2 linked regions of the Nothobranchius furzeri genome follow. The protein of the gene in region 1 interacts with the protein of each later gene in a biochemical or structural test. Links are inferred from orthologs where the notes say so. Each region holds a gene or a part of one and is shown on either strand. Other genes may lie near its edges. The genes, in order: fga and plat.

The links.
Region 2: the proteins of fga (region 1) and plat form a complex in vitro, tested with the Homo sapiens proteins (2 studies listed by BioGRID). The link is inferred for Nothobranchius furzeri from reciprocal best matches to the Homo sapiens genes FGA and PLAT.

The regions. Positions count from the first base shown.
Region 1 is NC_091742.1:90,961,122-90,965,665, reverse strand, and holds the start of fga (fibrinogen alpha chain), read left to right. Parts: upstream 1-1,731; 5' UTR 1,732-1,837; coding exon 1,838-1,888; intron 1,889-3,045; coding exon 3,046-3,153; intron 3,154-3,359; coding exon 3,360-3,543; intron 3,544-3,665; coding exon 3,666-3,811; intron 3,812-4,223; coding exon 4,224-4,322; intron 4,323-4,393; coding exon 4,394-4,544. UniProt on the Homo sapiens protein: Cleaved by the protease thrombin to yield monomers which, together with fibrinogen beta (FGB) and fibrinogen gamma (FGG), polymerize to form an insoluble fibrin matrix. Fibrin has a major function in hemostasis as one of the primary components of blood clots.
Region 2 is NC_091757.1:55,676,479-55,681,076, reverse strand, and holds the start of plat (tissue-type plasminogen activator), read right to left. Parts: upstream 2,928-4,598; 5' UTR 2,828-2,927; intron 1-2,827. UniProt on the Homo sapiens protein: Converts the abundant, but inactive, zymogen plasminogen to plasmin by hydrolyzing a single Arg-Val bond in plasminogen.

The sequences.
Region 1 (4,544 bases):
AGAGCCTATTAGCTGCTGGACTCCACTGGTGGGTATGTGGGAGACGGACACTGATCTGGAGAGAAAATGCTGCCGACAACCACTACAGGCATGCATCAGTACGATGGCGTACATGGACTACTACATCTTAGTGAAAGGTGTGTTGCAGTTGGCTCAGGCTGCCTGAATGACACTTTTGCTCTGGAGGATTGCCCTGCACCATGGCTGGAACAGCACCAGTTCAGACACGCTGCTTGTAGGCAGTTTGTTTTGTGGCAGCATGTGACAGGGGTTGCACGAAAATAAGCAATCAATGATGAACAGTCTGCTTCTAGACCTGCAGAAATGGGACACACAACAATACAACAGGAGTAAGCTATCACTGTGTCAACTTGATGAAGAAATGTAAAAATCAACATTGTTTAACTGAACAATCACACGATAATAAATCACAGTGCATTTAGTGCCAACCACAGCCTTAAGACGTGTGTTGAACGTGCCCAAGTCCATACTTATGAGAGCACCATGTGAGCACCTGTGTGCGTACACGCGTTTGTATATGTAAGGTTTTTCTATAGGAGCGTCCAATAGAGAGTATGAGGGGCCACAGATCTTCCCCCCAAAGATACGTAGGAGATGGAGGGAGCTCCAAGTCCCAGAGATCCGGGAGCTGCCCCAGAGCACAGGAACCCCAAGGAGACCGCAACAAGAAAAGCCCCTGCCCCCCTCGAGAGGCGCAGAGGAAAGCCTCGGGTGGCCACAACCAGCAGCCGGTGGAGTTCTGGAAGATATCGGCGGCAAGCCCACAGGCCCGCCCGCAGCCTCCCACCCCGCAACCGGCCAAGCCCGGGGCCCAGGGGCGACCACCCTCACCGGGGACCCAGCAGAGCCCAGGGACCCAGACCCCACCAGGCAGCCACCGGGATTGATCAGGCAAACGCCAAAAATCTTAAACCCCCTGACCTGGGAGCCACGAACACTCAGGCAGACCAAGGCACCACACCCCACACCAGGTGTGGCAGGCAGAGGGGAGGCGAAGATCTATATCATCAAAAGAAGTCCCAGGAGAGGGGAGGAGTCAAAGGCGCCACCTGACATATGCAGTCATACACAAACACAGTCACACACTCCCTCCCTTATGCTCACACATGCACATACAACCAAAGACTTACAAAAATGCACGCCGGACACCCACTCATGCTCCCCATACACACCCTATTCACTCTGGTCCCGGTACTGCTGCACATGGGGTACAACCATTACCGGTTCCCAGAGTTTGACCCTTTCTGCTGGGGTGCTGATGAGCAGGTTCCCCCGCCCAACGCTGAGCACAGCAACCCACCACCCCAGACCCCAACCAGACGGCCAGATCTCCCTCCTCCAGCCCCAGGAAGCCAAGCTGGTTCTGGTTTCTGTGTTAAACTGTTCTAATTTCATCATAGTCCCAGAAAACACACACACGCACACACACACACACACACACACACACACACACACACACACACACACACACACACACACACACACACACACACACACACACACACACACACACACACACACACACACACATTTATAAAAGAGATCTGATCCCTGATGGGTCAGCAGGTCAGATGTTCCTGCAGCTTTACTCACCTGTGTGGGAACAGCTGACTCAGCGGTGTGTTTTGGGTTGTTTTTGTGTATTTTGTGTGTTAGTTTTGTGAGTTCAGACACACTAAGTACAACAAACAGACGGTCGGTGTGAGCAGGAGGTCGTTGCTCAACTCTGACCGGACCTGACGGAGGTTCTGAGGTCGGACGCTTGATAAGACCCGGCAGCGGGGCAGCAGGAACATTCAGAGGAAGAACCAGAGAGATGAAGATGATGAGGTTACTGGTCTGTCTGGTGTGTGTTGCTGTGACTCAGGTGAGCTCCACTTTATCCTCTAGAAAATTCATGAAATGATCTCACCTGTAAGTTTGACTGGTTTAACTGGTCAAATTCATCCTGTTTGACCAAATCTAGAACCAGATACTCTTAATGTTTATTTGTCTGTACGAGTTATTGAATGAAAATGCAGCTTTTATAAAAATAATAATAATAATAACAATAACAATAATAATAATAATAATAATAATAAATAATTAATAATAATAAAGGCTGGGCAGAAACTGGAGGATGCCATTAGTGTGAATGTAGAATAAAAGGAAATTACATTTTTCCTGATAATTTCGTAAAAAATGTTAAAATCTTTCATTTAAAGGCAGAAATTACAAGAATATAATTATATTTTTCTGGCTGACTTTAAAATTGATAGAAAAAAACGGAATTATTTACTTGAATCTGAAGGAAAAAAATGACTGAGCTGAGTAAATAAATAAGACATATGTTCTGGTTTTATTGAGAAGAAATTACAGGAAAATTTCAAAAATTCCCAAACGTTCTTCCTCTGACAACAGAACCAAATGTATTCTGAGAAGGTCGTCTTTTACTTCCCAAATATCTGGGACATTTCAGAACATTATAATGAATACATTAAAATAGTTGCTGGTGAATATTAAGTGAAGATCTGAGAGGTTTTCCTCGTTATCTCATAATATTTATCAGGTTTTGTGTTTAAACGTTTGTTTTATACTGAGAAAGTTAGAATTTAAGATGAACCAGTAGAAACCCACAAAGCCACCTGGACCTACCCAGACCGCTGGAAGAACATCGGTTTAGAGCTGCAGCTGATGCAGGAGCGTTTAAAATCATTTATATTTGCCGAGAAACGTAAAACAAGGCCTCAGACTTCTGAGATTAGAGTTAGGATTGTGACTGTTTCTCTGAATCTTCTCTAAATATCAGTTATAAGAGAGAACCATGATGTCGTCTTTGGACACAAAAACCGAAAAGCTGCATTTTTTTTATTTTATCTACATTTAAAGTAACCAGGAGCCGTGGTGGAAGGCCCACCGAGCTACTAGTAGCTCCAGAGCCGCAGATTTCAGACCCCTGAACGAGACGTGGTTCATCGGGTGAACAGGTGCGTGCTAGGGTCTTCCACTCTGGTGCTACATTAGTGTCCATTTCATCTACTACAGGTTGCGTCTCAGGTTGACCCGAGAGGAGCCCGTCCTGTGGAGCCTGCTACCCGATCAGACAAATGTTCCACCCAGAAGGAGTGGCCCTTCTGCACCGATGATGACTGGGTAATTCTGCTCTTCATCACCTCATAATCCACCCGTCAGAGCTGCTGATGCTCAGGAGAGCAGGAAGGATCACTCCAACGTTGAAACTCTTAATTCCAACTTCTCACATGACAGATTAAATGTCTTTAGTGGCACGAAGAGCCTTCCACAGATTTTAATCCCTCCTTGGTGTCTGACGCTCAAACTGTTGCTTTGTGCTCCACCAGCTCTCCAAATGCCCGTCAGGCTGCAGGATTCAGGGCTTGATGGATAAAGCGGACCATGAGCTGCTGAAGAAGATCGAGAAGATCCGCAGCCTCCTGAACCAGAACAAGGCCAAGCATCGCTCCACCGACCAGGTGTCCAAACAGACCTACGACTACCTACGGGACAGACTCACCACCGATTCTGGTCCGTTTGAGGAGAAACCTTTCATATCTGACACACTTTAAGAAGGAAAGCGAGGAGAAACAGACTCGGAGAAGGTAGGAGGGTGTTTGGTTGGAGCTGATCATGAACATGTTTGACTACAGGAAACAACAACAACTACTACGACCTGGCCCAAAGCCTCCGACAGAGGATCACCGACATGAAGATCAGGATCGACAATCAGATGAACACTCTGGCTGCCCTGAAGAATCGGGTCAAAAACCAGGTCACCGAGATGCAGAGGCTGGAGGTACGGAGAGTCTGCAGGGACAAAAACAAAGTCTTAGTCCTGAAAACGACACGAATCAGCTGTTTTTATCTGAACATAGAAAATATAAAGATTAACAAACAGAACATCAAACTATTAGCTAAATTAGGTAATTTCCTGTTACTAAAACAACAAAAACACCTATTAGACCCAAAAGATCCTCCTGCTGTTTAGAAGCAAACATCAGAGGAGTCTAACCGGAGTTTAAATTCATTCTGTAACAAATAACGTCCAATTTTCCATGAAGTTCCCACAAAGCTTTAAATGTTGTTCTGCTGCCACCAAAAACTCTAGTCTAGTTATAGATAGATTAACATCAGAGCTACCTGACTGGTGCAGGGTTATCTGAGTATTTGCTGCCCAGATTCATCTCTCCAACCTTGTCTTCTGTCAGGTTGACATCGACATTAAGCTCCGTTCCTGCAAAGGTTCCTGTGGTGGGTACAGCGAGTACCAGGTGGACAAGGAGAGCTACGTCAACCTGGATAAACAGGTAAATCAGGATAAATCGGACCTTTGTGAGGAGGAATTTCAGCCGGACTCATTCTTGGCACCCTCCCTCAGATGAGGCAGCTGGAGGCCCAGTCGGCCCAGAGCGTCGAGTCGGTCGGGACGCTGTATGTGATGAAGACCAGCTCTCTGCAGACTGCAGCTGCAGAAACCAGATTCAAATCCAAGGATGTAGGAGGTCAGAAGAAAGACGACGTCTTCTCTG
Region 2 (4,598 bases), on another chromosome or scaffold:
CAAAGAAATTCTTGAGGACGACTAACGGAAAAGACGCTGAGAGACGAATGCAAGCACTACAGTTTATTTTCCTGACATCAATGAATTTCCTTTTGGCAAAATTGTGCACAAGCACAAAATTTGTCATATGGCGACGACAAAAAAGAATTTTGATATTGCACTAATTTTTCCCTTTTTTTTCTTGCGCCCCCATGAAAAAATACTGGCCCCACTGTGGCCCCCCTGGAAAATTTGGCCTAGAACCGCCCCTGGTTGTGACCATGGACGTAATTTTGGGGTGGGGTGGGGGGGGGGGGGGTGGCACTTTTTCCAAAATCAAGTTTTGACCCCTGCACTTTTTACCATCCAAAAACAATATTACGCTTTATTAAATTGACACTGGTTGAGCTCTAGGACCAAGCGGAAAACAACCATTTGTGTTGAAGCCTGTTTCAATTTAGAGCATACTGTAAAGATCCCCCCCCCCCCCCCCGGTGTGTCCCCCCCCCCCCCACTTCTAAAGTGAAAATTACGTCCATGGGTGTGACACTGATCTGTGAACAGCTGAAACTCGTGTGTTTCGGCCTGTAAGTGGGTCACATATGACCGGATGGATCCAAAACAAGTTTGGTAATTTAGAGGCCATACTGTGAGTCATAATAGCAGGTTTGAAGATGAGGCACTTACGTTCAGCAAACAAGTGCAATTCACTGCAAGGCAAACACACACACACACACACACACACACACACACACACACACACACACACGCACACACACAGCGGTAATATCCCAGCTGGAAGTGAATGCCAGGAGTTGCGTGACATTTCTGTGTATTTTAGGAACTGCTCTTCCTCGGTGACCACAGCGTTTGACATTGCAGCGACGGTGATGTGAAAAGACGGGTAATCACGATGTTGTGTTGAGCTTTAGAAGGTGAGACATTCTTTTATTTGTGCCACAAAACTAAAATACCAAAGTGGGAAGGGTTTAGTGGTGCAGCAGCACAGTCGCACCTGGCTGACAAGTCAGAAAATAAAAGTCTGAACTGCAGTTGAAAGCATTTTTTAAAGTTTCTCTTCCTGTTTCTGCATCAGCGTTGGTGCAGTGCTCCTTCTGAAGTTTTAATTTTTGGTGTTTTGGAATAAACAAGCATGTTGATTTACATTTAAATACATCATGTCAGTATTTCTGGTTCATGACTGAGTCCTTTAAAATTATATCTAAGACCTTTACACAGGAACAACCGCACAGAAAGACAAATGCAAAGCAAAAAACACAAATTAGCTGTTCTAGCTTGCAGCCAATGATAAAACAACTTTTTTTTGTCTATTAAATAATTAGAGTTACTGAAAGTTCAAGGTGTACCAAACTCATTACAAGGCCTGTATTATAAAATATGCTTCATGTTGTCAAAGAAATTAATAGAAAAGGGAGGAAGTTACATCAAATATGCAGGAAAATGGTACATAAATGAGGTGCTGCACTGGTTTTAGTGGAGAAAATGGAAACATAAACAGGAATTCCTGTCCAATTTTCTTTGTTTGATTCTTAACTATAATTATAGTATTTCCATGTGTAATTTGCGGGTCTCCAGAGAACACAAATAGTAAATTTTGTCATCTTCAAAGTAAGTTTTAGACCTTTTGAGATGATATTCACCAGCACTTTCTGGTGATGTCATGGCGTTATTTGTCCTTTTCCCATCAGGGATTTTGGTCAGGCTTGGGTAAACCTGCAGGGCTCTACAGAAGCTCGCGTTGTTGCCTACCCCCCCCCCCCCCCCCCCCCCCCCCCCCCCCCCCGTGAGCAACAGCACCACAAACTCCTTTTCAGGAAGAAACACAAATATCAAGGAGTCGACATCGGGTGTAAACTGGGGTCGTAACGGTGCGTGAGACAGTTCCAGGAAACGAGTTGAAAGGATGGATAAATGGGGGATAAAACAAGAGAGAGGGAATCAAATTCCAAAGGTCAGCAGAAAGAAAATGAGCCACTCTGAGTCATCCCATCTCCCAGGATGGAAACAGATGGAGGCTTTTGTGTGGTGTAGAGTCAGTGTCAGGGTCACAGATGGAGATGCTGATCAAACATGAATGGAGTACCAGTTTCATGGAGGATGTCAGCGTTAGACCTTCTGTCCCTAATCCAGATGATCCTGATAAGAGTCTGGACATGATGAATCCGGTGTGAGCAGCTTTGCACACTCACCCTTAACACGCCTAATGATGGAGCCACAGAATGCCATGAGCGTTGCTTCACACCAACCACTAATTAAGTTCCTTAAAGGCGCTCAGGACTGTGAAGTCAGCAGCGGTGCAGGAATTTACTCTGCAGCAGGAAACTAATAGAACAGGTGAGGCAAATAAAAAAAAACCCGTTTCTCCTCCTCAGGACTGAATAATGCACACATTACAGTAAATAGAAGACAACATGGTGTTTTAGTTCAAATGTTGCTTTATGTTAAAAATAATAATTATCTAACTGAATCCACCTATCAAAACCATTCATTCTGCTGTGTTTTAATGTTTTTCTTTATTAATAAGAAAGTTGATGAACAGATAAAAAAGTAGACCAGCATCACGACAGAAGTGTGTGTGTGTGCGCTTATATGTCTCTGTGTGTCCCCGTGATGGACAGGAGACCTGTCCAGGGTGTCCTCCCGCCTCCCTGTGACTCTGGTGAGGACTTAGCAGTTTGTGGATATGAGGAAGAAAGTAAGATTGCTAATCTCAATTAATTCTGCTGCGTTTTAATTTTTTTTTCTTTATTAATAAGAAAGTTGCTGAACAGATAAAAAAGTAGACCAGCAGCACGACAGAAGTGTAAATGATAGATAATCTTCTTACCAGATGTGTCCTCCTGCAGGTTCTGTCAGGGTCCTTCCTTTGAGTTCAGGTTTTATCAGACCTCTCCGGTTCCCCCGGTGCCTGAGGGGGAGGGCTGAGGAGCTGTGACGTCAACGTGGGAGGATGATGGCTGTTGTGGGCGGGGCCTGGGAGGCACTCGGGCTCATCCTGAGGGGATTTTCCTAATCGAAAATAAGACCAGAAGTTTTTTCTTCTGAGAATTTATTAAAAAATATTTTCTCAGCATTACAGCAGCATCGTGAGGAGGAAGCGCTTTAACTTGTTCTTTAGAAAACTTTATTGTAAAACATTGCCTCAAAGCAGTAAGAGTTGTAACTTAGTCTATAATAATAATAATGATAAGTAATAATAATCATGTTAACATTTTTCACAAGGCCACTGTCTTTTTCCCTTCATTAACAGATTTTTTCCTGTTCAGTATATCTTTCAGAAAGACACGAGGAAGAAAATAAAATTGCTAATCTCAATAAATTCTCCGTCTTCAGTGGAAAAAAATCTAACATACACTTTAAATGTTAAAGAAAATAAAAAATAAAAATGGAATCACACAGAGGGCTACACGTTGCACCAGTGCCTCACAGCGAGAAGGTTGCTGGTTCGATTCCCACACAGATTCTGCCGAGTTAGCATGTTCTGCTTGTGTGGGTTTTCTCTAGTTTTGTCCCACAGACCAAAATTATGCAGGTTAGGTTCATTAACTTTTCTAAATGATCCCCTGGTGTGTGTGTGTGTGGTTATTTGTCTCTGTGTGTCCCCGTGATGGACAGGAGACCTGTCCAGGGTGTCCTCCCGCCTCCCTGTGACTCGGGTGAGGACTTACAGAAAGCTGAAGGTCATTTAGAATCATAATCAACTTTATTTTCTATTTAAATTTAACAGCAAAAATAAGTTTCATTTAAAGATTTTATTACATCTCATAAAACTTGACATAAACCGTGTCTTCTCTAATTTAAGTTTGCCTTGAAAAGAAAAGAAAAACAACCTTTGGGCATTTTTATTCTTCATAAACCATAAATACTCACCAACAGCACTATTCAGAACAAAACACGGTTTTAATAAAGTTTAAAGCTGGAGAGTAAAGCACTTTAATATTTTTTTTCTTTATTATTTACTTGAGTTTAAAAGCTCATTTTGGCGGCATCTGATTGACATAAATGATAATCCAACAGGACTCTTGAGTGGTCTCTGAGAAGCTGAGGGACGGATCCAGCCAGAACCAGAACTCATTTTTCAGAACCACGGGCTCCATCCCTTCCTCAGAAAATCAGTTCCAGTTCCTTTCATCCTCAGAACCATGCCGTTCCTGTTTCAGTGGGATGCTTCATGCTTTTTTATTCTGGTGCTGAAAAACAGATTTAGAGCAGCGCTTTGGGCTGTAAATCAGCTGGGTGTCGGTTCCAACTGTCTCTGTGTTTATTTTTCCTTCAGTTTTATTTTGAGACAGAAACAGATTTTGACAGATCTGACTGGTAACGTGTTTTATCTCATTGTTAAATCAAGAATAAAGAGACATTGAATTGATGTTTCTAGAATCTGTGCCAGTGACATCGGAGATTAAGACCTTGTTGTCCACATTTGACAAAATGACAAAGTCAACAGCAGGAAGACAAACAGGAATCTTTGCACAAAATCATTTTTATTATACTTAAATACCAGATAAGTGAGATCCCCTTTAGCTAAAGTTTCACTTTGACTTTTTCAGTTTAATTCTTGTGATAATGCATTAATTTCTGATTTACCAGACCATAGA